2 linked regions of the Schizosaccharomyces pombe genome follow. The gene in region 2 interacts genetically with the main gene of each other region. Each region holds a gene or a part of one and is shown on either strand. Other genes may lie near its edges. The genes, in order: toe2 and SPOM_SPBC3H7.05C.

Region 1 (18,088 bases), on a different chromosome or scaffold from region 2:
GCATTCATAGGTTATCTAATAACTGTTACTATTTGCAATCAAATTTCATGACTAAAACTTGCTGATTTAATCTTACAGTGACATTTAGATCTTTATATCCATAAATAACCTCAGCATCTCCAAATATTGCATATGTATTGCTAGGATGGTATTGACAATCTTTTTCATGCTTTTCGTTTACTGACAGGTGTTAACACAAGGTAAAAACATTATAATTTAACATAGCATACCTTGTACAATTTCTATGCATTCATTGGCATTATGTACCCATTCATCAACAGCACTCATCACTGCATACGGAAAATTGAATACCTGACCCTATTTCAAGTCAAACAACAAAAAATACATGTGTCTAGTTGGAAGTAACAAACTACAAGGCGACGCAAAATTTCACGTGCTACACCTGTTATTATTAAAAAATATTTACTATTATATAGATTTCTAGCTCCAGTATTGCCAATTTTAGAACCTACAATTCTTTATAACTTTTCAGATTGCTCAGAACAATAACTACAAGTATAGATTTTCTGACACAACAATCCATTCTTCATCGATGACCCACGATGTTCAGGTATTAAATTTTTTTGATATCATTAAACTAAAATACGATTTGTATCGCAAACATGTAAAACAGTCATAACATCAGGATTTTTTAGTCATTAACCAAAAGAGGACATCATTGCTTGTTCAATAATATGCAGCTTTCTAAAGCGAAAATCCTTAAAGAGTCTTGAGATTGATTTCCTTAACCACCATAAATTCTTGAACGCCCAAACGACCGGCTTCCTTGCCAAAACCGCTCTGTTTGATGCCGCCAAAGGAAATAAATGGTTCGTCAACCATTTCGATATTGGCACCTACAAGACCCACCTCTAGTTCTTTGGCAACGTGGATCATTGTGGACAAGTTATTGGTAAAGACGTAACCGGCCAAGCCAACATCACTGTCGTTAGCCCATTCGATCACCTCTTCGGTGTCGTCGAACTTGAAGACAGAGGCGAGTGGGCCGAATGTTTCCTCGCTAGCAACCAACATGTCTTGAGTTACACCGGAGAGCACGGTTGGTTCAAAAAAATAACCTTTGCTTGAGGAAATCTCCTTTCCACCAACAGTGATTTTGGCACCCTTTGAAACAGCATCTTCAATGTGCTTGCTGACCTTTTTGCATCCATCTTGAGAAATCAAAGGGCCAACAGCAGAAGAAGAGTCAAATCCATCTCCTACTTTAATGGTCTTGACTTTTTCGGTAAGCTTGCTGACGAATTCGTCGTAAACATTCTTGTGAACGTAAACTCTGTTAGGGCAGACACAAACTTGACCACAAGAGTTAAACTTGATAGTGCAGAAAGATTCGACAGCCTGATCAATGGGGAAGTCAGGGAATACAATGAAAGGGGCATTACCTCCTAACTCCATTGAAACCTTCTTGATTGTGCTGGCACTTTGTCCCATAAGAATTTTACCGACATTAGTACTACCAGTGAAGGAAACCTTACGAACGATAGGGTTGGTAGTCAGTTCTTTACCATGAGCAGATGCATCAGAAGAAGTGATCACATTTAAGACACCGTCAGGGAAACCGGCCTCTTGCGCCAACCTGACTAAACCTAAGCAAACGTAGGGAGTGCGGAAAGCAGGCAAGAAAATAGCGGTACAACCAGCAGCCAAAGCGGCACCACCTTTACGAGCAATCATGGCGGCGGGGAAGTTCCAAGGAGTAATCAAGGCACTGACACCAACTGGCTGTTTGATGGAGATGAGAAAGTTTTGACTTTGTAAGCTGGAAGGAGCTACATCGCCAAAGGTACGAACGGCTTCAGCAGCATACCATTTAAGATATCCGCTACATGTGGTGACCTCCATCTCAGCTTGGCTCAAAGGCTTGCCGTTTTCTAAGGTAAGCATCTTGACCAAGTCGTCTTTGTTCTCCATAATAAGCTCTGCCCAGCGTTCCAATAACTGACTACGTTGGACATGAGTAAAATTTTTATAAGTTTTGAAGGCCTCGTTAGCGGCACTGATGGCTTTTTTTGTTTCCTCTACTGAGACATCGGCCACTTTACCGATTATTTCACCAGTAGCTGGGTTATCAACCTCAAAAGTTTTGTTGTTAGGAGAAGAAATCCATTTTCCTTGAACAAAAGATTGAGCATGAGACTTATCAAAGCCAAAGAGCTCAGGGCGTTTGAATTGAGGGGCCATTTTTGAAGAGTATTATACAAAAAAGTGGGAAGGAGTAAATGTTAAAAACTATATGAAACGAAGTTATCGATAGAAATGTTATTATTATTTATAATAATAACAAATAATAGCGTAAGCAGCAACAGATCTTTCGTGGAAAAAAGAAGAATGCAGGTTTTTTTAGTGTTTTCAAATTAAGCTGCAGATTTCTTTTTTTTAATGTAGTGTAAACATCGAGAGAAACGATGCATATTTATAATTTTTCAACAAGACATTTAATGATCAAACCATAACGTATGCATCTTGGTTTTCCGTACTAGATTTACGTCTCAACATCATGTTCTTGGTGTATGCAAACATTTCCCCTGGAAAAAAAGAAAGGCGTATTGAATTTGCGTAAATATCGGCAGACTAACTTATAAATCATAGTGTCTGGTTTGTTAGCTTACGGCTCCCGTCTTCTTCAATGATGTATATAGCGAACTTGGTGGAATTGCATTTTTTACATCATATAATTGAGTGCCACCATATGTGAATATGTACCGACTTTACTATACTGAATGGCAGTAATATAAGCTACAGCTACTGTGAATGAGTATGAAAAGAACAGTGGGTAAAATCGCTTCGCTTTTCATATTAAAAAATGTATTTTGTATTAATGCGGTTTCTTTTTTTTTTTTTTTTTTTTTTTTTTTTTTTTTAGCGACATAATTGGAGTGAAATAAATAACTAAAATAGTATTGAAACTTTTATCAAAAAATAAAATTAAACATTTGTGGTATCCGTGCTTAATTTTTCCTTGCTTTTCTAACGATTATTAAAGTTATCAGTATAGTAAGTTACATATTTAATTTAATTTTAATTAATTTATTTACCATCAATTTTTTTCGTATTTTTTCCATATATTTTATTTCATATTTAATTTTAAAAATTCATTTATTCATATGGTGTCCAACTTTTATTTTAAAGTTGACAATTATCATATAGTACCCAAAAAAAAATAAAAAACTCAATTGGTATATGCTGCATGGATCTTATACAGTGCATTCACCGTTTGTTTACATAGTTTTAAAATTTTGTAATCGCAATGTTTCCATTTTTTACTGCTTTACGAATACACAATGGCTTTTTTTTCAGTGCAGCAATGGAAGAAGCATGTCCGATTGATATGGGCACGTAATTTTTGGAAGAATATGAAAGAATCGATAATTTCTTTAAAATTTCTTTATTACTGATCGGCGCTTAAAGTAATACTATACAATTTACCATGCAAATAACATTAATCTGTAGTATCGAATAAAAAACAAGTAAATGATTAAAAATCCCATAACATGAAAATGCTTACAAAATTAACATTGAATAAATCTTTGTAATGTTTTATCACTTTTGAAGAATGAAGATCGACAATATATACTCGTTATTTTTGGTGATATCTTATTTTATCAATTAAAAATTTGACAAAAAAAAATAAAATAAAATTGGACATGCGCAACAATTGAAAAAAGCTCAAACCTGATTTATTTTGCTATTTCTCATCCTGCCATTAAATTTTCATTGTCATACAAAGCTATATCGGCTTTATGTCTGTGAATCTTCTATGCTACATACCTTCTTTTCTTACTTCTGGTTTCTGCTAAGGTTTATTATTTTCTTAAACTCAGACAGACGGCAGTTAAATCATTAAACGAATTTTCATATGTTTGGTGTGCCAAGAAAATTTTCCATGCAACAACAATTCATAAATTTCTTAATTATTTTTTAACTATCACTTAACTGACAAAAGTCGATTTATGTCACACTGAAATCATAATGCGAGACTAACTTGGGTTATTATTGACACATAGGTTAGGTTATTAAGGTGGAAGAAAAATTTACTACTTTTTTTTTCTAGAGATTTTCATGAACCAGACATACAAAAAGATAATATTTTACTAATACAATAGTTTGTTTGCATTACAATTTAGCAACATTCTGCGAATTTTGTAAACATTGATTTAGTATAACGATATGGATTGATGCTTTTAAATGAAACGTAACGATTGCATTAGCACAGCGGCGATTTTTTTATTACGTAGCCCTCTATTCTTGCTCTTCGTTACGATACAGTATTTGGTAAACAAAGCTCTGCAACTCATATGCCGCTGTTTATGGAAAGCGGATTATTGTGATGCCTTACTGGTTTGCCAAATAAGGAAGAAGATAGTTAATATTAACTGTGAGGACGAGGAAACAGCATAATGAATGCTGCAATCCTGCTAGCTCATTCGGTTTATCAGATCAACATAAAGCCAGAGCTGAATCAGTCCAAAATTTATAATACAGTAACGCAACTTGGCATTTGCAGGTCGAATAAAGAAACTTAGGCTTTTAAAACTATCAGCTGGAACATATAACGCAGCACAGCATTACGTTTGCATCCTTTGCGCTCAATCCAGCAACACCAATACCGTTGTGCCTAAATAATTGTTAAAACGAATAGCACGTGCCTATGTTAATAATGCATTAAATTGGAGATTCAAATAATGAAGAATTTCTGAGACATCTCTGCTTCCTTTGTTGGTCGAATTGCTTGATCTTTGTTATGTACCTTACCCTATGTTGAGGATAATTTCTTAACCATTTTCTTACAAAATCAAATGGAACCGATTACTACATGGTTATCTAGCTGAATGAAGGCTTCTTTTTTTGCTAATGAATCAATCAATCAATATCTTTGCAACACTATATTGTTCTCATTGTGACTGATTGATATAAATTTATTGCGAGAAGCCTGGATGCTAAAATTGTTCATTGCATAGACCACGAGGTTGATGGCTCCCTTATTCATTCCGTTAGCCATAATCAAGTACCCACTGAGCCATGTCGAGAACCATTGTCATAGTTGGATGTGGAGTTTTTGGCCTTTCAACTGCAGTTGAATTGGCAAAAAATCATTCCTTTGATAATATCATTGCTATTGATGCCGAACCCGTTCCTTCCAGCATGTCTGCAGCAAACGATATCAACAAGATTGTTCGGCCAGAATATGCAGATCTTAAGTATATGAAATTGGCGTTGGAAGCAATGGAAAAATGGAGAAATGACCCAGAATTGTCCTCTGTTTATTTCGAATGCGGCCGCTTAAGCACCATTTCCAAAGACCCATACAGAGCTCGTTTCGATGAGGTAGCCCAACGAAACTTGAGAAAGCTTTTAGGAGACTCTGCTCTTATTAATCTTTCCAGTTCAGAAGAAATAAGAAAAAAATATCCTTCACTTTTTTCTAATTCACCGCTGCGCTCAGACATGCAAGCTGTCGTAAATGAACACGCTGGTTATGCGAATTCAGCTGCTTCTCTAAAATTACTTGAGTTAAAGGCTAGGGAGCTAGGAGTTGAGTTTGTTTTTGGTAAAGCCGGTAAATTCAAAAAATTTGTGGTCAATCATTCCGAAACTGATATTGATAAAAACGACAATCATGTATCAGTACAAACAGAGGACGGTACTATATATCATGCTGATACTATTTTACTAGCTGTTGGTGCTTATTTGAACGCTTATTTAAATACTTCTCATCGTGTCTGTGCTAAGGGTTTACCGGTCGCGCATATTCAGCTAACCGATGAAGAATTTAAGACTTACAAAAATATGCCTATTATTTTTGATCCAGATTGCGCTTATGCTTTCCCTCCTTATCCTGTGACAAAGCTCATAAAATTGGCCAGCACCGGATATGAATACGTATGTAACGTTGAGACCGACTACGACGAAAACTCAAAAGTTGTTTCCATTCCTCATTCCGGACCATCTAAAAGTAGTCTACCAAAATATGCCATTATTCAAATGCGCCGTTTCCTTGACACCTTTTTGCCTGATCTTGCAGACCGCAGCCTGATAAACACGAAGATGTGTTGGATTTCTGACACCGAAGATGCAAACTTCCTTATTGACAAGGTCCCTCAATTTGATAACGTTTTTGTCGCAAACGGAGATAGCGGACATGCTTTCAAATTTCTTCCCAATATTGGCAGATACATAGCACAACGTATTTTAGGGGATTTATCTGAAGAATGGAAAGATGCATGGCGTTGGAGAGAGGATGATAAAGCTTCAGAACTGAAATGGAGATGTGTTCGCTCTTTGATAGATTACAAGGATGCAGAGTTTACTTACGACAAGTGAGTTTAATTTTTTGTTTTATATCCTATAGTTTTACTCACAGTTTTGTTGCTGCATTTATATATTTAACTATCTGTTTATTATGTTATTATTTTCGATAGATAAACTACAGCGTATTATAAGACAACAAACAAACGTAAATAACTCTTTAAATCTGACCAGTTGACATTTCACTAACCTTATCGCTTTAGCGGACGTAGTTGTTCTGTAATTGTAAGAACTGGCATAAATAAATTTTTAAATACAAAATTGGCGCGTAATGTGACGAAATAAAATAATAAAAAATAGACATTTGCAATAAGCTTTAGAATGGACAATGTTGAAATATAGCATCCCAATCATCCTAGCAGTTGTTAGCTGGAAACACAAACACATAATACATACCCAATTGATATCAAGATTGTTAGCATCAAAAAATTCAAAATTTGTAAGCCTCACATCAGTGGTCGATACGTCGACAGTGCTCAACCCAAGCTTTTCCCAAACTTTTGCCCTTGAAGTTTGTAAAAGTGCCCAGGCTTTTTGATAATGCTCTTTACCAGAACTGCGAGGAAAAAGAGAAAATATTTTGTTTAAAAGAACAACTCGTTCATCATCCAAATAAATGATTTTTTGAGAATTTAGTAAATCGAGCAAAAGCACGATGCAGGGATGAAACGGCGGATATCTCCAAAGATACCATGAATACTTTGAGTATTCTGGATTGCTGCCTAGTTCGTACAGCTGGTTTAAAGCCAGAGTCGCGGACTCCAAAGCACGCGAATGACTGTAGGCGAATTGTGCAGAATTTTTTTTTAAAAGGAACGGAAAATGCAAGAGAATTGGGAATCTGTTTGACAAATAGGAAACTAAAAGTCGAATATGCCGTTCGTGCATAGTATTACTAGTTGGAATATTCACTTCTATCAATTCTTTAAAAAAATTGGAAAGCTCCCTGTCAAGCTCTAATAAACGTGTATAATTAGGAGCTATAATGCCTAGCAAAACTTTCAAACACTTTGAATATGCTCGTGAAACCTTCGTGATAATGTTAACAAAAGTGGCCTCAGAAATAATAACGGAAGAATCTACATTATGAATTTCATCAGGTAAAGCAGAGGGAAGACGTGTATCATAATTTCCCTCAACAATTTGAGGAGGATAACCAATAGTTTCAGAAGTTCTAAGATCCGACAAGACTATATTCGCCCACACACGACGTCTAATCTCGGAAATTACCGGATTAAGTCCATAAAGCGAGCCATCTCTGTGAAGGCCCATGCATAGCGCTACGTGAAGAATCAAGCCGACTAAGGAAGGTGGAGCGCGAATGCGGTCAGAATCAAAGACAACCTAAATTGAGTTAGTTAAACCCATTTCAATATCACAAACCTGACAAAGAACAAGAGCTTGCAAAGCATTAAGATCTGGTTCAAACAGAAAATTAGACGAAGCCAGTGCGTAGCGAAAAGCTTGATGATAATCTACCTGAAGATATCTCTCGTCTTCACCAAGCGCCCATGTCTTTTGCACTTCAACAGGTGTAGCTAGTAATGCACTAGCATAGATTGCGTATAATAAACTAGTAAAAGCTGGTTTTCGCAAGTGCGGTTTTTCCCAAAAATCATTATATCGTACATAAAAAGTTGGTCTGTGTAAAACATTAATGAGCATATGACACCGAAAAAAGAACTGCTCAATTAAAATATCCGATACTTTTTTGGGGGGTAAATAGTCGTATGCAGATTCATTGGGGGATATTCGAAAAAAAAACGGACTAATCAGAGAATCGTTTTCTTCTTGAATATCTTGATCTAAGTTAAGATAATGATAATTCCTTAAATGCCAGAGTACGTGTGAAGAGGACGAGTAGTTAGCATATTGTGATTTTGTATCATCTAATACTGAAAGAGAACCAATGTTTCGCTGTGTCTCAGCATCTGCCGAAGGCGTGGAAGGAAGATTATGAGATTGTTGGTTTTCATAATCAGATTGCGATTTAGTGCCGACCTCATTTAAACGTTTTTCCAGCATGCTAACTCGGGATAGTAACTGATCTATCAATTCGTCAGCTTCGCTACCCCGTTCAAAGCGCTTGTCATAATTAGTTTTCCCAGGATCTATATAAATACATGACTGGATTGTTGATCGCTTTAAGCAATTGGAACAAGGTCTTCCATGATCACATTTAAGTTTTTTTCTTCGACAAGCCAAACACGAATGGATCGCCCTACGTGATGTCTGCCCTGATTTTTTAGAACCAGACTTGGTTGTTTCACTCATATGCTCTTCTTAAACATCAAGTTATATAATATTGTGAAAGATAAAGTACAATTGAATGCTAGATTCTTCTAATTCTTGAATCAATAGACGTCAAAAAAATGATACTTGCGACCAATTGACAGGAGCGAAAAGAAGTTAATTCCGTAATATATAAAAAAGTAGTCTTGGCTTTAAATAGGCAAGAATTATATCTTTAAATCTTATTGCTATACTGATTTTGAACCAAAGACACTTGTGTTTGGATGTTGGCGAAAAGTAAATTCGTAACACCAAACACAAGGCACACTGGACAACTTTTATAAATATCCACTAATTTCAATAGTAAGCAATCTCAACAGCAGACAGCTTTCGGATAACATGCGTTAGATACGTAAAGCACTCAAATAGAAACATATAATTTACACAGGGATTTAATGCATTTACTAACAAATTACCATTCTTAAATATGACTGATTTCTATTTCAAAATTCAATTGCCTGCCTTGCGACAAACTATCCATCAAATTTAGTACTTGCATTTTTTTCATTGATCACAATTTATACCCCGTATGTATAAAATCTTACTAAAAGGCATCTTAATTGTCTGAGTAAGAACTTTGGTTAAGGGTAGACGGTTGAGAGCATGCACTTATTTGAATCACTTTATGGCATTTTCTTTATAATAGTACAACATTGCAGAAGTGAATGACATCTAAAGCTACTGCTACTATGATTTTGCATTTGTCTTACTTTAACATTATCTACCATGCGTTTCCAACGAATCCTATTTTAAAGTGTAAAGTCAGTTAAATGTTAACTGTGTGTACCTTCCTTCCTTCGAACGATCGCATTTATTGTTGACAAACATTACTCAAACTTTCAAATGACTTTTATTCAAAAAATTTTAAAATTCTACCAAATATTTGTAGGACAGAGAAAGAAAAAAAAAATATATATGATTGTAGGTAAATCCTTAATTTAAAGAGGTTAAGTGCGTTCTAGTATCTGTATTTTCAAATAGTAAACATAAGTAACATGTGACCTGTTTAATTTAGCATTAAAATGGAAAAAGTATAGAGCAATTAGGGTGCCTTGTAAATAAAAAAATTGCAATTCAATCTATAATTTTTTTATTAGTATCATTTTGCTTATTTTTTGAGTCCGTACGAAAGTTACGTTTTGCCTTCCCAAATTGCCGCAATGGTAAATTTTCCGCGCACAATTTAATCAAGGCTATTATCACTGAAAAAATCTCAACTGCAAGAATTCTTTTTCCTTCGGCCAACACTTGCTACGCAAATTGAATTGCCATTTGAGGCAGATTTTTTTGTTTAAATTCGAAGAAAAAATCCCAATATTAAGTCATGTCTGAGAAACAAACTATCAAAGCCCTTCCTGCACACAATCCTACTCAGGTGAAAAAACTTGGTCCCGTTAGTGGATTTTTGTCAGGTGGTCTTGCAGCTTGTGGTGCTGTAACACTGACAAATCCTTTCGAAGTTATTAAAACGCGTTTTCAACTTCAAGGTCAATTGACAAAATTGGATCCTTCTAAGCGAATTTACAAAAGCGTCGGTCAGGCATTTTCTCTAATCGCTAGACATGAAGGTATAAGAGGTCTTCAACGAGGCCTTGGTACTGCTTATGTTTATCAAATCTGCCTCAATGGCTGTCGTCTCGGGTTTTACGAACCGATTCGACGTACTCTGAATACGTGGTTCCTTGATGATCCCAAGGGTAATAAATTAGCTATTAACGTTGCAAGTGGCGCCGGTTCAGGTTTATGTGGTGCCTTGTTTGGCTCTCCCTTTTTCTTGGTTAAGACTCGCATGCAGTCGTATTCTCCTAAATTTCCCGTTGGCCAGCAGTATGGTTACAAGCATATATTTAATGCATTCAGTCGTATTATTAAGGAAAATGGTGTTAAGGGTTTGTTTGTTGGTGCTGATGCTGCCATTCTCCGTACTGTCTCTGGTTCCTCTGTTCAGCTTCCTATCTATAATTGGGCTAAACGCATGATTGAGCATTACAATCTATTGGAAGAGGGTATGATCAAACACTTAACTGCTAGTGCTGTTTCTGGATTTGGTGTATGCTGCACCATGCAAATTTTCGATACTGTTATGACTCGTATGTACAACCAAAAGAACAAGGAGCTTTATAAAAATCCGATTGATTGCATCCTTAAAACAATCCGCTCTGAAGGATTCTTTGCCTTATATAAGGGTTTTGGTGCTCACTTGGCCAGAATCGCTCCTCACACAATTTTCTGTCTTACCTTCGTGGAGCAAACCAATAAACTCTTTTTGAAATTCCAAAAGGATTAAGTTGTTTTTTCAAACGCACGTTTCTTTATTTATAAATAATTTTGGTACTAAACCATAAAAACCCCCAGTGGCTTTGGTGTATATCAAGTGAACAGTTAAATTGTAAAGAAATGATGTTTGTATCTAAGAACGATTTTTATTTACATTCGTTGTCTCGTTACTTATTTCCACTCTACTTTCATTTAAAAGTCGATTTTTCTTTTCAAGCTGTTTTTGATCAATCGGCATGTTTTTGTCTTTTGTAATATATATCCGTCAGTTATCTCAATATATGTACGTATTTGTTTTTGGATTTCAGGCATCTGGCTGCGTTTGTATATCAACTTACCTTTTATTTAGTTATTAATATACTTATTTTCTCTATAATTAAAGATTGGAAACATTACCGCTTTGTGTAGTCACAATGGATAAATTTCTTCATTTTGCGTCGTTTTTATTTGAAATCTTTACATTTCGCCAACAGTTATATGTTTTTTAGATAAATCATGTTAGTTTAATAAAATATTTTCTGAACTTCTTATCGTAGTATTCGTGTTCACTAATTTGCTCGTTCCTGCTGACTCTAATAAACGGATCGGACACCTCTATTCAGTACAACATAATAAAATCTGAATATATCCGTTACATATAAAAATAATCTGTTTGTTTTTAAGGATCTATTAAAGGTTTAGTAAAAAAAAACCGCCTTACGGTTTAAACTGCTGTTTGGTAAATTCAGTTAAAAAAAAGAAAAAAAATGACAAGTAAGTTAAAATACCTTGCTACTCATCTGCTAATTTTTTAGTTCGTTCATTGAATTTGTTTATCATAGACAAAAAGCATCAACATAAATCTAGCTTGAGCAGTTTTCAAAACTGTAAGTTGGGTATTGACGCAAGTTTTTACTTGACTCAAATTATTCATTCCTTTACCCCACAGGAACTTCAAAGTTTGGCAGTAAATGGTGAATCCGAATATCTACAACACAGAATTTCGGAATTCCTTGAGCAGTTGAGAACTGAGAATATCACACCCATTTTTGTTTTCAATGGTATACCTCTTACCTTTGAAGCCAGCAGCCAGCTGGAAGTGCCGGGAAAGCAAAAAAGTCATAGTGCATTGACAGATTTCGAAGCTTTTGATCCTTATGATGCAAATATTCAGCGTAATATGTACCGCATGGACGCAAGTGGTCCTGCGAATTACGGCGAAAGTAAACCAACACTTTTGTACACCAATCAGCGAGATCATTTAGATCGTCTTTGCGACCAGGTAAAGTTTTACTTAGATCAATGTAATGTGGAGTATTTTGTCGCCCCGTATCTGGCTATGGCTCAATTAGCATATTTTCTAAACGGCACATCTTCACCTTACATCGATGCCATCTATGGTTCCACGGATCTGCTTCTTTTTGGTGTTAAAAAATTTATTACTTCTATGAACACATCTTCTAACGTTAAAATCTCATCTGACCCTTCATCCCCATCAACTCAAACAACTATCAATTCGGCCGCTAAAAGTTCATTCACATGGTTAGATGGAAATGCCCTTCTTCAAGACACGAACGGCCTTTCATGGCAGCAGTTCATCGATTCCTGTTTATTGTGTGGTACTGCTATTTCTCCTACATTTCCTCAGATTGAGGGTACTTTTCTAATTAAAAGCGCAATGGAGCTTGTTCGTATGTTTGGTTCTGCGTATCGTGCAGTCCTTCATTTTGCTGAAATCTTTCCCCAGCCCATTTTTCAAGATTATCTTCAACAGTACAAAAGGGCTGTTTGTTTCTCTAAGTTTGGAATTGTGATGGATACAAAAGGTCTCACTTTACCACCAGTTCCCACAGAATCTGTTCCTAACGACATAAATATATATTTTGGCACCCGTCTTCCCAACGAGATTTATTTTTACATTTCTCGCGGTCTTATTCCTTGCAAAATGATAGGTGCTTTAGTATCTGGATGTTTTAGTGATCCTGTTTCCATACTTGAACAACATATTGGTGACAAAGCATCACAAGGAACATTTTCTGGTGCTAATTCTGGTTTAAATCCTGGTCGCGACAATGCAGCAGCTGTAGCGGCTGTGGATCAACGGCGATTTGTTGACGATTTAGAAGAAATATGGTCGCAGGGGCTAAATTTATTGACCCAACCGCTTAACAGATTTTACCAAGCCAGAGATATTGTTTCCCTTCATGGCCATAATCAGCAAGCTTCTTTGAAGGTAATGCACAGCTATGATCCTCCTTTGTATAATGATACGAGAGCATGGATGATATACGAAGAAAACTTACCGAGTTATTTATCTAGTAATTTTTTAAAGGAAGAACCCGTTGTATTATTTGATCTACTACGTGCTTTGAACGATCCGGTATTTGTAAAGAAAAGCTTTTGCACTGAAGGTAATATTGGCATAAAAAACCCTCCCAAGCATCCTCTGTCTTCTACTGCGGAAATCGTCTTAAGTTCTTGCTACAGATTTTTGCAAATTAGATCTTTCGTTTTAACATCTCATCAATTAACATCTTGGGGATGCCCCTTGTTAAAAGCGTTGGAAAATTGTCACTTACAGAACCAAACTTCCGTTGTTGTTTTATTCGAGCTTCTTAGACTAAGACAATTAAAAGAGCCCTCTTTACTTTCCTCCTCAAGTGCAAGCATCGCCGATTTATCCATAACTTCTGCCACAGAGTTCTTGGCAAAGGTTGCAACATTTCTACCAATAAAACAGAGACCTGAAGTTAGTAAAATTTCTATAGTTGATGAGAATTTATTACAGTTTTATCAGCTACAAACTAGCTTCGGATCCAACTTGAAGGAACTCATGGCCATGATTCTTGCCTCGGTCATCTTGAACAGAAACGTCGACAAAAGCAAAATAGATCCTAAACTTATCCGAAAAACGTACGTGTTTTTTTCTCTTTCTCCTTTTTTGTTTATATTTAAAGTTTCTAACCAATTTAGCTTACCTTTTCAAAACATAAATGGTAGCCTTGTCTCAGGTTTTGTTGTCAAGCGCTTTTTTGAAATCATTTCAAAAGAGCAAGAAGCCAGTTCTCAACAGGAAAACATCCAGAAGGCTTATGAAATAATAGAAAAGGAATTCCCAACCATTGGATCTGCGGAAAACCATATTGCCCAGTTTTTGGAATTCTGGAAAACTTTTATGGAAGGGGTTAAGGAAGCAGAAAATACAAGTGCCATTGGCAAGCTCGTTTTAAGTAAACTCTTCCTTACTAACCAATGGATATTTTCTCTTGGCTTATGAAGACCAGAACTAGTAGTTTATGAATAGAAATAAATTAGTGAGAGAAGTATCCTTCTTTTAGCGGGAGCTTTTAACACATTCGGCACAGTCATAATGCACATTTACATGAATTACTTTCCCTCATACTGTCGAAGCATTTTCAACATGCTATACACTCATGTGATTACACTTGATTATTGTTGAGATATTATTTCGAACAAGTAAAGTATTGTTAATATTAATATTCAACTACATTGTTTCTTCCCGAAAAAAGGAAGGGAAAGAAAAATAGAGAAGCACAGCTTTGAATGAAAACCCAATGATGTTTAAACTTTTTTATAGATATAGTTTAATTTGTTCTAAAGGATACTATATTTATTTTTAGCAATACACTTACCTGTCAAAAAATAACTTATACCGTTGTTTTTACACTATAGTATGGGAATAATTTTTAACTTATTTGATAAGTTCAAGCGGATTTTTTAGATTTTAGTTTATGTGTACTGGCTCACTCACAAAAAACCGAATTCGCATCAGAAACATAATTTTACCTAATCAATTTCACGAATTAAAAACCTTGTGCTTACAGAAAGACTTGCTTAGTTTAACCACTTACAAGCTGGATAGTATAATTTTGTTTTAAGATATTTACTGTATAGATGCTGTTTACGACAACTTGCTAGCTTTGAGAATCTCCAATTCTCACACTAACATCTAATAATATTTGTCGATAGTTAACAAAATTCTGACAATGTCAGTTTTTAAATATAAACGGTAGTAGTTGAAGTAACTGACAGTTAATCAAAATCTCTGTAACTTATTGTTTACATTGCATATTGCGAGACTTGACACACTATTTAGAAAGTCTTAAGCAAGCGTAAGCCATTACTGTGGAGTTCATTAAGCTTAACTTTAATGAACTGCTATTAGTGTAGTCTCATTTTGTAAGGCGTAGCACAATGTCCCGTGTGGTTCAGCAAGCTACCATCAAATAATAGTTTGATTTTCCATTTGGTGTGAATCTAGCAACAACCAACATTATTTGTTCAGATGCACTTATGAAGTCTAGTGGTATCGCAGGCGATTCCAATGGATTTGAAACAAATTTTCTAAATGAAACGACTAATCGAGAAGAAGATGGTGCATTTAATTGGAACGCTGCAGATGATGGCACTAACGAACGAAGAGAGGATATTCATGTACGATTTCAGGATAGCGCTCTTCCATTAGGAATTGATGAAAATGAGCTTGATGAAATTGATATAAATGGGGACAGCAAAAAATTGGATTCTGTTGAAGTTGACGAATCACACGATGTTAATTCGCCATCAGATAGCAGACTGAAATCATCTTTCAAGTCGGTATTAGAACTGACAGCTAATTCTATGGTTTCAGTGTTAACTCCATCTACCAAAACTGAGCAGACCTCGAAAGGAAAGGGAAAAAAGAAGAAAGCACATGTTTCCTTCCTAGAGGGACCTGTGGAAGAAATCCCATTAGATGATATTGAGCCTACTTCTCCTCGTGAGGCATCACCTGTGTTCAATGGGCGTCCTCCAATTCCTCCGGAATTTTTAAAGTCGCGGCATAAAGAGTTTACAATACCAAATCCTTTGCAGTTCATTTCCAATTTCTTATCCAACTTGTTTTCGCGTGATACACGGTATTTGAAGTCGAGTCATGGTCGAATAATTATCATAAACCCTTACGATGACTCCTCCCAAATTGATGAGCGTACAGGAAAGCCCTATATGCAAAACAGCATTGTTTCGTCTCGGTACAACAAATACAATTTTGTCCCTTTACAGATCATTGCTCAATTTTCAAAAACTGCCAACTGTTATTTTTTGCTGATTGCTATTATGCAAATGATTCCAGGTTGGTCAACCACCGGTACTTACACTACAATCATCCCTCTACTTATATTTATTTCAATTGCAATCCTTCGTGAAGGGTTTGATAATTATCGGCGATATCGCCAAGACCGCGTAGAAAATAGAATTCAAACTCAAGTTCTTCGTCACGTTGATGTAGATCCGCCTATTGTTGAAGAGCACTCATCTTTTTTTCGTCGTCGGCGGTGGAGAAGAAGTAGATCTCAAGAATCTGCTTCAAGGAGTACTATTCGATCAACTGATGAAAGAGAACCTGAAAGAACCTCAGAAGATCCACCTCAACTTCCTCCCTCTCCCTCTTCCCCCTCTTCTCCGGCGTTAAGTGTCAAACCTAACATTGACCCGCAACCCCCCTTGTATAACTCTACTTTAACTACTACTCGCTCCATACCTGCAAATAAGCCTACTTTTTTTTGGGCTAGCTGTGATCGGAAAGATGTTCGAGTTGGTGATATTATTCGACTGACAAGTGATCAAACTCTTCCAGCAGACGTAATAGCTTTGTCGAGTCCCAATCCTAATGGCGCTATTTACATCGAAACAGCTGCACTTGATGGTGAAACATCCTTGAAAACTAGACTAGTAAACTCCACGCTCCGCTCTCTTTGCAAAGACATTAATGATTTAATACGATTGAGTGGTACGTGTACTGTTGAAGACCCGAATGGTGATCTTTACAATTTTAATGGAAGTATGAAACTTGACTCAATACAAGGAGAAATACCATTGTCTAATAACGATGTTCTTTACAGAGGCTCGAATTTGCGAAATACTTCAGAATTGTTCGCTTTGGTTATTTTTACTGGCGAGGAATCCAAAATTCGCATGAATGCTGTTCGAAACGTTAGTGTAAAGGCACCATCAATGCAAAAGGTCACTAATAGAATCGTAATTTTCATTTTTGCATTGGTTGTTAGCATGGCTATATATTGTACTGCTGCCTATTTTGTTTGGCAAAAAAAAGTGGAAAGGAAGCTGTGGTATCTAACCAACAGTAAACTTTCATTTGTTCCTATCCTTGTTTCTTTTATCATTCTTTACAATACAATGGTTCCAATTTCCCTTTACGTTTCTATGGAGATTATACGTGTTTTTCAAACATTTTTAGTGCAAAGTGACATTGATTTGTACTATCCAGAAAACGATACTCGATGTGAAGTTCGAAGTTCCTCAATCCTTGAAGAGTTAGGTCAGGTTACACATGTTTTCTCCGATAAAACTGGTACCTTAACCGATAATATTATGCTTTTTCGTAATCTATCTGTTGGCGGATTTGCATGGCAGCATGTCGGCGCGGAAAATCCTAAGCTTGTATCCACATCACAAAAGAGTGATGACCTTGATGGTGAAGCCAAACCTCCGCAGCTTGAGAACATTCAGGGTACCACTATTCAATTGCTTCAATATGTACATGACAATCCTCATACAACTTTTTCAAAACGGGTACGAATTTTTCTTTTAAATTTGGCGATTTGTCATACTTGCCTTCCTTCTTTTGACGAAGAAAATCAAATTTATAAATACCAATCCATTTCACCAGATGAGTTGGCTCTTGTGCATGCAGCTCAACAGCTAGGTTACATTGTTATTGATAGAGACATTGACAGCTTGACAATCCGATTGCATTATCCATTGGACCCACACTCTCACCCGATTGCCAAAACATACCGAATACTGAACATTATCGAATTTACGAGCAAACGGAAATGTATGTCTGTTATCGTACGCATGCCTAACGGAAGGATATGTTTGTTTTGTAAAGGAGCAGATTCAGCGATCATAAAGCGACTTCGTCTTTCCAACCTCGCCAAACGGAAGGACAAATCAGTAACCAAAGCTGAACAGGCTCGTAAAAGCATTGAAATAGACAAGGCGATTATTCGGAATAGCCAGAGCACTTCGAGGCCAAGTTTAACGGCTTCAAGACCTAGTTTGTCTCGGCGCAGAAATGATTATATTAACAACGTCACTTCTTGGCTCGATGAAAGGCGTGAGAAAATGGGTGTAGTTCGTCCCCGTGCTAGCACCAGTATTCTTGAAACCCGGCGTCGACCAGCTGTTG
Region 2 (11,302 bases):
TCATCCTCCGGGGTCTCGCATATTCCACTACGAAAGTGATTTGGCATTCGAGAAAGACGCAGGAATCCGGTGATTCGTCGAGCGCTACCGCTAGTCAAAGGCCGACAGGAAATACATCTAGTTGCCATGTGTCCGATTGAAGAGCCTAAAGACTTTTGTTGTGGTAACGGAGCTCCCAAAGTCACGTTTACAATGACTCTACTGAAACATTTTCGTAATTCCAAAATTGCCTGCTGAATCTTTGTGGAATCGAGAGCATGAGTACTTTGTAAAATATCAATATCTTCTATGATGATCGTGGAGTTTTCAAATTCAAAATCGTTTTCCTCCACACATTGGATCACAGGCGCGAAAACAGATTTGATGTGATTTTTGGTTTCTGGTGCTTGTACCTTCGAAGGCTTGGAAATAGGAGCAAATAGCATGCTGAAGCCATCGATAAAGAAGAAATTTTTTTTCGTTTTAATATCCATTCCCTAATATTGGTTCAGTAGGTTAGTCATACGAATAGTTTATCATTCAACCACTTATGCAATCGTAATCCCTCTTTTTACATACCCATTTACGCATACTAATTGCATGCTCATCTAAGGTTTTACTGAATGTTAAAAAACAAGTACTTTCCTTTGCTTTCAACGCATGGTATAAATAATAATGGAACAGAAATGTGACAGGTGTTTCTCTTGTTCCCAGTAGCAAAGTTAAAGAAAAAGGCTCAGGAATGGGGCGTAAATGCTCGTGTAAAGAAGACATTAGGTTTAAGAGCCGTTTGTCATTAGTTTTATAGCCTAACTACAGTAACCAGCTTTCCGAATGGTTGTAGAGGGTGAATGGAAAACACAAGCCTGGGAACGGAGCAACATGAACCAGAGTAAGAATGAACAAGCCGGTCAGTAATGCAAAGCTAGTTCTAATATTATAGAAGTTTCAAGTATCAAATTAAAGAAGTCTAATACCAAATTATTTTCCAGAAAACTATCCTCTAAATGTGGATAAGCTATTTCATTAAAAAAAGAAAAACTATCTACCTATGGAACATTGATTTGCCTAAAAGGCAATCATAATAATAAAAAAGAACAATAAAGAGCAAATCCCAATAAATTAGACTGGAAAGGGGTTTAGCTAAAGGAGGTAAAACCATCTATCTATCATATAAGTCATAAAAACAAGCAGCATTACTTTAAAAATAAAAGAGAGCAGCCAAATTAAATATTAATAATTCCAGAGATTGGTGAGAACAAGGAATAGTTTTATAAACATTTGTTTCTGTACATTGTTCTCTGTAAAGTACAAAGGGCGAGCTGAAGGGGTCGACGACAAGGATGAAAAAAAAGAACAAAACATTATCCAGGTAAAAATTTTGAAGAGGGGAGTAATCTTTTTTATTCCGGTTATTAAAACCAAATTAATTTCGGTACTGAAAAGTAAATTGGTAAGGGGAAGATGAAAGAGTGTAGCATATATGCGTGAGCGATTTGAGCATTATTGTCTAGCAAATAAAAAATTTTTATTTCTTATTTTCTTTGTGAAGCCAAGGCATATTACACGTAAGACTTCCTAGTGGGACGAACGTAACTCACATTTTTAGGACGACAAAGGACAACCAGAAAATTGAGCCATATGCTGTCATGAAAAGGATGTACATCTTCAGTTTCTGTACTCTTTGCTCGTAAGTATTCATGAACATTCTGACCAACAGATATTAAATAGCACTGGTAACAGAAAAGGATGCCAGGAAGTATTGCTCCAAGTGCCCCATAAATGCCAAGGAAGAAAGATACGCCAGCCCATGGACGACGAAGATGCGCCGCAAAATTTGTATCTGTGGATTCATGAAAACTTCCTATAGAAGTATAGAACCCCAATCCAGTTAGATACAAAGCTGAAAGAACGACAGATAACAAAAAAATAAAATAATATCTGTAGTTTCGACGACCAATGCAAGTGTTTAACCAAATGCAGTGATGATCAAGGTATTCAACACAATTATCACATAAATGACAATGGCTTGCACGTGGAGGACGATATAAGTGGCACGTATGGCAATAAACTGTATTAACAAAGACAGAGTCAGACCGAGTGGATCCAACAAGGACTTTACGGTCTTCAGGAATTACAGACCAGGGATGGGCAGGGTTATAAGTTAAAGAATATGCATTTCTAGGAAGAATTCCTGGATCAGCAGTCGAGCACTTGAACATGGAAACAACGGCTAAGGCATACAGGTAAGCAAAGGTAATAGGGACAGCGGGAGAGACATGATGCCAGAGCCAAAAAGCAGAAAAGATGAAGAAAAGGACTCCTGGAAGAATCAAGGCAAACAAGCTAATGAGGAAAGCTTTGTACTGAGATGACATTTGCAATCGACCACAACATAAATAGATATTGTTTCCTGGTAAATTCTTATATCGGCTTTCAATATGCGGTACTTCCGGAACATCATCAGGAACGGATTGAAATCTATAAGGAATTTGGTTCTTTTCTTCCAAATTCATGGGATACGTTGGATCAGACAAAGTCACCTCAAATGGATTCCATGGCTGATTCCACGCGTAGCGGGATGCCTTAGCATCACTGTGTTTCTCATAGCTCATGATTATATTCTCTAAACAACAAACATGGCAAAGAAACAGCTATTTTTACACCTGGTATTATATCTTGTAGTTTTGTTGTCGGTAAGGATATGAACCCCTTTTGCGATGGAGGGTGAAGTAAATATTAGCATCCGCCAAAGTTTGTTTACTAAGCAAATAAAGAAATCAAAATAAATAAACAATTAGAGAATGTGACTCTAATAACTAATATTTGGAATGGCGCCTATTTAATCGATGAGAGTGTATTAAAAAGAGAAGGGAAATAAAAACAGAATATGAAATGAAATGCTAAAAAAAAAAATACTAACCGAAGAAATAAAATTAATAATAATAAATAAAGTACTTATTTTTTTTTTACGAATAAAATGTAAAAAAAATTATTTAAGAGTGCCAATATATTAGTATTTATATTTTTCAAACTTTTTATTTAAATATATTTCATCGATACTGTAATTGGAACATCCTGTCAGTACAACAATTCAGGGCTCAAAGTTAGAAAAATCAAGTTTAATAAATTATACTATCCGTGCAATTTCGGGTTTGTAAAGAAAGTGGATAATATATGGAAAAATTAGTAATATATGACTCGATAAAGACTCCAAAGACTAAGATAAAAGACCAATATCATGGGAAGTAGACTAGCTAGTAAACCATTTTCATCTTGTGTATTATGTTTTTTTTTTTTTTTTTTTTTTTTAAAATGGCTAAATAACTAGCAGGAAAATAATGGGAGGGTGTAATTGAGAAAATATTAGAAATGAAGGTACGGAAGCAACGAAAAAAGATCTTAAAAGTTTATTAGAGTGTTGCAACTATTGAAATTATGATTATCGCGAAGCTATTAATGAAAGGGCTAATTTAAAGGATCATCTCTATACTTTCACTAGCCCCGAAATAACCCAATAACCTCTATGGCTTGTAAACAAATAACTCAAGAAACACGGTATATGGTCAGTTATGGATGAAATTTTGAAGAAAAATTATTACTAATCTACATCTAAGAAAAACCATCCTGGCTTCATTCACTGTATTTAGTGGAAATGTAGTTCACAAGATTATCGAATTAGATTGTTATTCCTCAATATGCATGACTCCAAGCGGTCCTTTGGTTTTATTTCCTGTTTTAAAGGGAAATGAATTAAATTCTTATTCCTTAGAAAATCTCAATGACGCTTTTAAACGTACTTGTACATTGGACCTACTTTACTGGAGAAACATTTGCGGTCAGCAACTACTATTAAGTTACTAACCTCATGGCAGCTAAATTTTGAAAAATGACTATATTTATTTATAATGGTACGAACCATTTTTATTTGTTTGCGAAGTTTTTTAGTGTTCTCTTCTTATTATTTACAAATATAATCTTAGGAAAAGTTTAGTAAATAAGTGTCCTAACAAATTCTATAGTATAATACAAGGGTAGAGGTAGTATCTGAAAAGTATTATAAAACTGTATAAAGCAATATAAATACAAGGGCGGTTCGATCCCGATTGCAAACGCTGGAAAATCTAGAAATATTGGAAAGTTGCTTCTTTCACCACTTTAGTAGAAGGAGTTGGTGATTATTATGATATTATTATCCATTCAAATTTGAATCTCTTAATGCGCACCGTTGCTACGTCTTGTCTGCGTCAGGTGGCGATCCCCATAAATATTGATGCTTGTCATAAATGTTGCGAATGTTCGCCTACGTATTTCATTTTGACATTTACAATCATAAAAGGATTTTAGATCCTTTCCATCTCGAAACAATTAATCAAACTATTCAAGCGAACAAGAACTTTTTATTTTTGGAACCATCATGTCAATTATGCGCTCAATTATGTCGAACCGCCTGGTTCGCTGGTCAAGAGAATATCCAGAACTATTTGTAAGCTCAATTTTTTTTTGAAAAATATATTGAGTTGATTATTTCGTAAGCTGATCAGTTTGCTGTTAGATAACTTGGTGTGTCATGACTTATACCTTTGGAGTTGCTGGTTATATGCTTGGTATGTTAAAAATTAGTAGAAAATTAGAAATCAGCGCAGTTAATGAAACATTATACTCAATTTTAATATTCTGTTAAAATTTTCCTACAGAATATTTATTTTACAAGCGCATTTACATATGATTGTTTAAATTAAATGATTGTAGCTAACAGTTTTTTAGGACAGCGGGGCTTGTTGGTACAACATGAAGATCAAGTCCGAATTCCTTCAAAAAATGCTCACCCCTGGGAAGACACCAAAAGCAGTAGCGGAAAAAGTGATGAGAGTCTTGATTATAGCTACAAGTATTATCCTCGAGGAGATAGGAGTAAAGAACCTCGAAAGGCACCTTCTGCTATTCAATACAGCACTTTTCCCGTTAAAGGTGTATCAGAAGAGGTACTTGAGCGATTCTCTAAGTAAAGCACATTAAATTGTGTATAACCTTTTAGGAATGAAAGAGAACAATTATTACATTGCCAAATATTTTTTTAGTGCTTTTTCACTTTACAAATATCTCACTCTCTACTTTATGGTAGGCTCTCATTTTTGGAATATTTGCCCTGATATATTGCAATATTTCCAAACATCTTCTTAGTTATGATTTCTTGCTTTATTGCTTTAATGTATAAAAAAAATATTTGCTTATTAACCTGTGTTTGAAAACGGAGTTTAGGCACCACTTTACCAACTTCACAATTTATACAGCATTTTGAAGATAATGATAAATTTGTAAACAATAACAAAAAATAAGCTTGTTTGAGATTTTCAAATAACTTAAATTGACCTAGTACTTGTTGTCGTTTAACGTTAAGCTTAATCAATAGCCGAGTAATTAGTAAATGGGACTTGCCGAAAACAACGCTTTTCAACTTAGAAAATTTAGCAAACCCACTCATACCTTTTAATAAGCATGGTCAACGCAGCCATAGTTGTTTCCTCAAATCGTCCAAATGTGCTTGAACAGATTTCCTCCTTGTTTAGAGATGGGAAGACTCGTTCTCTGGGGGAACAGTGGACTTTAGTATCAGGCCAACTTAAAGGAACGTTTGAAGATGCTAAAGACGCTTGTAACCGCATTTCTGCTACTGAGAATGTAGACTGTAATTGCTTGAGTGAAGCAACATTTTCCACTAAAAAGAAGCTTGTAGTATTTGACATGGACTCGACGTTGATTCAACAAGAGTGTATTGACGAGCTCGCGGCAGAAGCAGGCATCCAGAAAGAGGTTGCTACGATTACATCTCTTGCAATGAATGGGGAAATTGACTTTCAAGAATCACTTCGTCGTCGCGTTTCTCTACTACAAGGGTTGAGCGTCGATGTCATAAATAAAGTCATTGGCAAAATTACTTTCACTCCAGGAGCTAAACAGCTTTGTCATTGCCTTAAGCAAATGGGTGCGACTCTTGTTGTCGCTAGTGGTGGATTTGTTCCAATGGCTGAATATGTCAAGGGACAACTGGACTTGGACTATGCATATGCCAATGTACTTGAATTTTCCGATGATGGTAAATTCCTCACTGGAAAAGTTCAAGGTGCAATTGTAGATGGACAACGAAAAGCTTCCATTTTGCGTGAAAAGAGGGAAGAGTTGGGTTTAAATAAGCTCGAAACGATGGCTGTTGGGGACGGAGCTAACGATTTGGTCATGATGGCCGAATCCGGTTTAGGAATTGCGTTCAAAGCTAAACCCAAAGTTCAATTATTGGTATGTTCGAAATTTTTTTACAAATTTATGTTTTTAATGATCTTACTAACTCGATTTTTTTTTTTAATTAGGCTGATTCGAAAATCAATCTTCCATCTTTGCAAAACGCTCTTTACCTCTTGGGTATTGATGAGCAACAACAAAAAAAGCTATTGGAAAACAAAAATTAATTTAGAATTTCCAAGAATTTTTCAATCGCAAGGCGCTGTCAAGAACTCTGAGCTACTGTGGCTTGGTTTTTATAAAGCAATATTTTACTTGTGCGCGTGGTCTTTTTTTCTGTAGTAGGAGCCGTCTTTTATATACCCTACTTCTTTATTTTTGATACTCTTATTTTTCTTTTTCCTTAATTTACAATTTTGGTATGATCAATGCTTCATTGGAAAGGGTGTGCAATGAATGCTTAAAAAAAAAGGGGCAGTTCAGAAGCTTTCTTCTTTAAAACAGACAAGAATTACTCAATTGGTTTTTATAAAGCCGATCATTTACTCTTAAATCTGCTTCGTTATGCTGATAGACTTTGAAATTGATTCGTGCAATGACTACACCTTCGTTTCATAGACCTTTCTTTATTATCATTTATTAATTGTAAATAATACAATTGTATCTAGTTATTAAGAGTTGCAGAAAACATGTGCTTTTGACGTATTTCAACACCGTTTCCCTTGTATATATTCAGAGGTATTCATATACTACTACCCATGCGAGATTCATTATGGCTAAATCACCATTCCTGGAGCTTTCTTACGATATATTGCTAGAAATTAGTACATATCTTGATTATAAAGATATAGTTCATTTGTCAGAAACATGCAAGTCACTTTCGTATGTTTTTGACGACAAAACAATTTGGCATCGATTTTGTGCACGGGTCCAAGGTCTCACCAATGTAGTCCCAGTTGTTGATGATAATTACAAAAGACCCTATGCTGTATGGAAAGACCGAGGATACGCTTACTCATGGGGGCAACAGATAAGAAACTATTTGGGCCGCGTCGTCAATACAAATCAGTATCCTCGAGATCGTCCTGGTGCATTGACTGGGAAGGACGTTCGTTCTACTATTCAGGTTCAAGTTGGGTAAGCGCATAGATACAGGAATTTATTTGACTGCACTACAATGACTAACTATTCCCTATGCGGAATTTAGAGGTTATGGGATGTATTTATTAAATGAAAACGGAAATTTATATGTTACGGGGGTACCAAACAATGTTGGGCCCGAATTGATGAGAGATTTAGAGCCAATTGTGAAAATCCATGCTGGTCGAGAGTTTTGTCTTGCACTCGGTGAGACGGGACACTTGTATCAAGTATCTCTAAAAACACGAATTTGCTTGACAGATGAACAAAATATGCTATCAGCCTATCGCGGAAGAATTGCTAATTTTAAATCAGGTTGGGACTCGCATTCGGCGTATGTGCCGGGCATTGGCTTTCTTGTCTGGCACACTGGACGAGAAAGTGAAGCGCAACTTTTCCAGCCAGAGGCATCGATGAAGGAATTCGTGCTGAACGATTATGTTCACTGCGCAGGATTCCTAGTGTATACTGTCGCATCACCTCAGAAAAAAGGCGCCGTGTTTCGTTTAGACCTGGACCAAGCTACACAACACACGCTAGGAAGAGAATTGAAGAGGTTCGCTTCGCACGACCCCCATCAAGGTTGGCATTTAGCAGGCAGCTTTGAAACTTTCACATGTTTATCGGACGATGGCAATACTGTTTACATGGGTCATGCTAATACCAAGCAGGTCGATGATGACCCGGTTATCCACGACTTTCTCCAGAACCGAGGAATTAAGCAATTGGCGCATGGCGATCATCATCATCTTTACTTAACAAGCGATCATTCCATATGGTCGTGGGGTGTTGAATTACGTTATTGTGGGTGTTTAGGTTTGGGTTCTCTTCATTTGCAAGAACAGACATCTGATCCCAGCATTGTTTCTGATCCACGCACCGCACGCAACATCGTTTCCATTCCACATCAAATTCACTTTTCAGGAACTTGCTATTCAGTTGCAGCCGGCGGATGGCAAAGTGCTGCTCTCGCCATTTCGGAATCTGTTTTACCCGAAGTCAATGTGCCTCCAATTACAACTTTTTCTATCATCCGACCATCCAGAGTTCCAGCGTTGCGCTTTTTAGCTGCCCCTGCGACTCGGACTTTGGAAAGGGACGGCTAGGTGAAATAGTGATCAACTTTGCTTGGTAAGCTAATTTCCGCGTGCGCACTAGAGAAGGATTTTATTTTGTCCGCTAAGTAAGTGAAATAAATAAATATCTCGGCCACCTCGGACTTCCGAATTTATCTCTATTTTTACTAATTCCTCTAGGTAAGCCAATTATAAAAAAAAGCAGCACAAGGAAAACACAACGGTGATTAAATAAGTGAGAAAATTTTTTTTCCTTCTTCCTGTATCGCAATTACATAAAGTACACACATTGACCAATTTATATTCCTGACCCCTGTGAATTAAGTTACTGTGCTACTACGACGAGTTTTTACCAAACATTATTATTTTTTTTAATTGATTTGGACTGTAAGGAAGGTTACCGATTTTCATATTAAATCCTCGGTGGTCAAAATTTGTTGGGCTCTTGCTCTCTATTTGTCGTTTGCGTTGGTGGTTTGTAATATTCCTAACCACCCCATTTTTTTCTGGCGACCCTAACTTGGGGGTTTTGTTTACAGATCCAGGTGTCGAGAAAACCGGTATTTTCAGGCAGAAATCGATCTTAAGAGACGATTTTTTCTTGTTGGGTTGACTACCTTGTACCTGAAATCTGTTGTGCGAAAATTTCCAGATTTAAAAAATCGTGGATTGATTGAAGGGCAATTGAAGATTACGGGATGCTATTTTCCTTTTCATGCAATTAGCAAGTATTACTGATTTATTTGTAATTCCACAGTGTCTGATTTATTTTTGTTAACAACTATATTATAACACTTTTTTTTCTTTGCCTTCATCATCATCATCATCATCATCGTTGTTCTTTGTTTCTTTCAATAAGCATTTTGTCATTTTCTTTTATCATTATTGTCTTTTTTTCATATTTTTGTCGGTTGACTGATTGATTGTAAATAAAGTCTCATAGTTATATAGAGTGTGGTTTGCCTTTTCTTATTGTTTCGCCTTGTCTTGTCTTGTCTCGTCTAGTGTTGCTTGTATTGTCTTACCCTATCTGTTCTTTTTCTTCACTTTTGTTTTAACTGCGAATTTTCTTTCTTACTTTTTTGCTTTTCTTCCTTTCCTATTCCTCCACTATAAAGTTTTCGGCGTTTGATCATCTACGAACACGATCTAAAATTCAATTACTTTCATGTATCCATTTTCTTTCGATCCTTCTTCCAAACTTCCAGTCACAGGTATTTATAACATCCTTCTGTTCAATCTATTCCCTTTAGCTACATACCTTGTCGAAACCTTTTGTTTTTTTCGCCGGTGGAAAATCGCCTGCACTTTGTTATGTTCCATCACGGTTATACTGGCGTATCGCATGTGTGCTGTCTATCACCATGTTGGTTATAAGGATGTCTCTACATTTGGTTTGGCATATGGCTTTCTCATTATGATGTCGCTTCGAACTTGCTTTTTGAGTTGGCGAGATATGGTACCTTCTCGCAACGATCCTGTACAAATCAGCGCTGTTAAGCGTCGTCGACCATTCATTCGTAACGCTAGGTGGAACTTTGTTGATTATGCACTTTCTTTGCGCAAGTATGGTTGGACTGACGACGTGGTTCCCCCTTACTGTAGAAAAGTGCTGACTTACAAATCTTTGGGGATACGTACTGCTGTCTATGTGGGTGCATTTTGTTTTGTCAATTGTTTTAAAACTCGTTTATCCAATTGGATGTTGCTTCCTATATCAGCCAACCCATGGTATATTCAAGTCGCATTTTGCGTAACCTCTGGATTCTTTTCATATTTGTTTATTAATGCCTTGTACTATTTATTCGCCATTATTTTTGTTCCTCTGGGAATTTGGGATATTGCAGAGTATCCATTAATGATGGGAAATGTATCTAAAACCACCTCGGTTAATGATTTTTGGTCCAGAGATTGGCATGTTTGTACCAAGCCCTATTTCAGAGTGATTGCTTGGGATCCAACTATTGCCCTCACTGGAAGTAAGTTTCTGGCAAGTTGTTCATGTTTTTTCCTTTCAGCATTATTCCATGACTTTGCCTATTGGTCAATTTCTGGACGCTGTTCACCTGCTTTCTTTTTTCAGCTTTTAATTCAACCTTTCCTTATTAATCTTGAAAAAAGGATTCCCCTCTTGCGCAAATATCATTATTGGGTCCTAATAATCGAAATGCTTATTAATGGAACATATGGTATGGGAGTCGTATTATTAAAATTTAAGTGGAAAACATGCTCGCAAATTTAATTTACTGTTTAATGTCTATGTTTGACCTTCCGAAACCTCTAAAGTATCAGATAATTGCTATGTGTCCTAGTTTATACATTTAATGGATGGTTCAACTAAATTAACTTTTCCGTAGATATTGTTGGAATGTTAAATAATATATAGAGGGAAACATTACATTTAGCATTCTAATTCTCATTCTTTGCCAACAGTAATTACAAAACTTTATTTATTTATAAGATTTGTTAATAGTATGGGTTTTTTCAATCAGATAAAGTGAACCCATAGTAAGCCACCATGATCACTTGCATACAAAACGTAGCCGGGAGAGGAGGGGAGAGAAGTAGAAAAAGATTGAAAATTGTGCAGGATTCAGTCGGGTTAGCTAAAGGGATTCAATGCGCGTAGCTTGGAATCTATTGTTGACGACCGTCCAATTGATCATATCCCACCATTTTGTAATGTACATTTTTTTACCATTTAAACCATAGTCGTCAAGATACGCATATTGCCAAAGGTTAACGCATAAAAGCGGTACAATTGCATTGGTACGAAACTTAGGAAATCCTGTTCCCCAAAGAAAGGCATTTGACGCATTGTACGTGCATAATAAGGAAAATAAAGATTTTTCTGGACTATATACCAA

The links.
Region 1: of SPOM_SPBC3H7.05C (region 2) and toe2, changing one suppresses a phenotype caused by changing the other (phenotypic suppression), as found in Schizosaccharomyces pombe (one study listed by BioGRID).

The regions. Positions count from the first base shown.
Region 1 is NC_003424.3:1,012,430-1,030,517, reverse strand, and holds toe2 (protein toe2), read right to left. Parts: upstream 8,849-18,088; 5' UTR 8,602-8,848; coding exon 7,711-8,601; exon of another isoform or gene 7,672-7,710; coding exon 6,724-7,671; intron 6,683-6,723; coding exon 6,644-6,682; 3' UTR 6,383-6,643; downstream 1-6,382. Other genes in the region: histone acetyltransferase Hat1, read right to left, coding at 1-15, 77-180, 231-288; ssd2 (succinate-semialdehyde dehydrogenase), read right to left, coding at 721-2,202; fap2 (L-saccharopine oxidase), read left to right, coding at 5,041-6,342; oac1 (anion transporter), read left to right, coding at 9,944-10,906; post-transcriptional RNA stability regulator Mkt1, read left to right, coding at 11,643-11,649, 11,691-13,788, 13,849-14,152; dnf1 (P-type ATPase), read left to right, coding at 15,190-18,088.
Region 2 is NC_003423.3:1,864,856-1,876,157, forward strand, and holds SPOM_SPBC3H7.05C (uncharacterized protein), read left to right. Parts: upstream 1-8,943; 5' UTR 8,944-9,603; coding exon 9,604-10,677; 3' UTR 10,678-10,802; downstream 10,803-11,302. Other genes in the region: elongator complex subunit Elp6, read right to left, coding at 1-476, 559-753; palmitoyltransferase Erf2, read right to left, coding at 1,542-2,594; SPOM_SPBC3H7.08C (uncharacterized protein), read left to right, coding at 4,397-4,465, 4,535-4,586, 4,747-4,988; phosphoserine phosphatase Ser2, read left to right, coding at 5,479-6,276, 6,348-6,446; F-box protein Pof9, read left to right, coding at 6,992-7,356, 7,427-8,465; SPOM_SPBC3H7.04 (mitochondrial 37S ribosomal protein mS42), read right to left, coding at 11,042-11,302.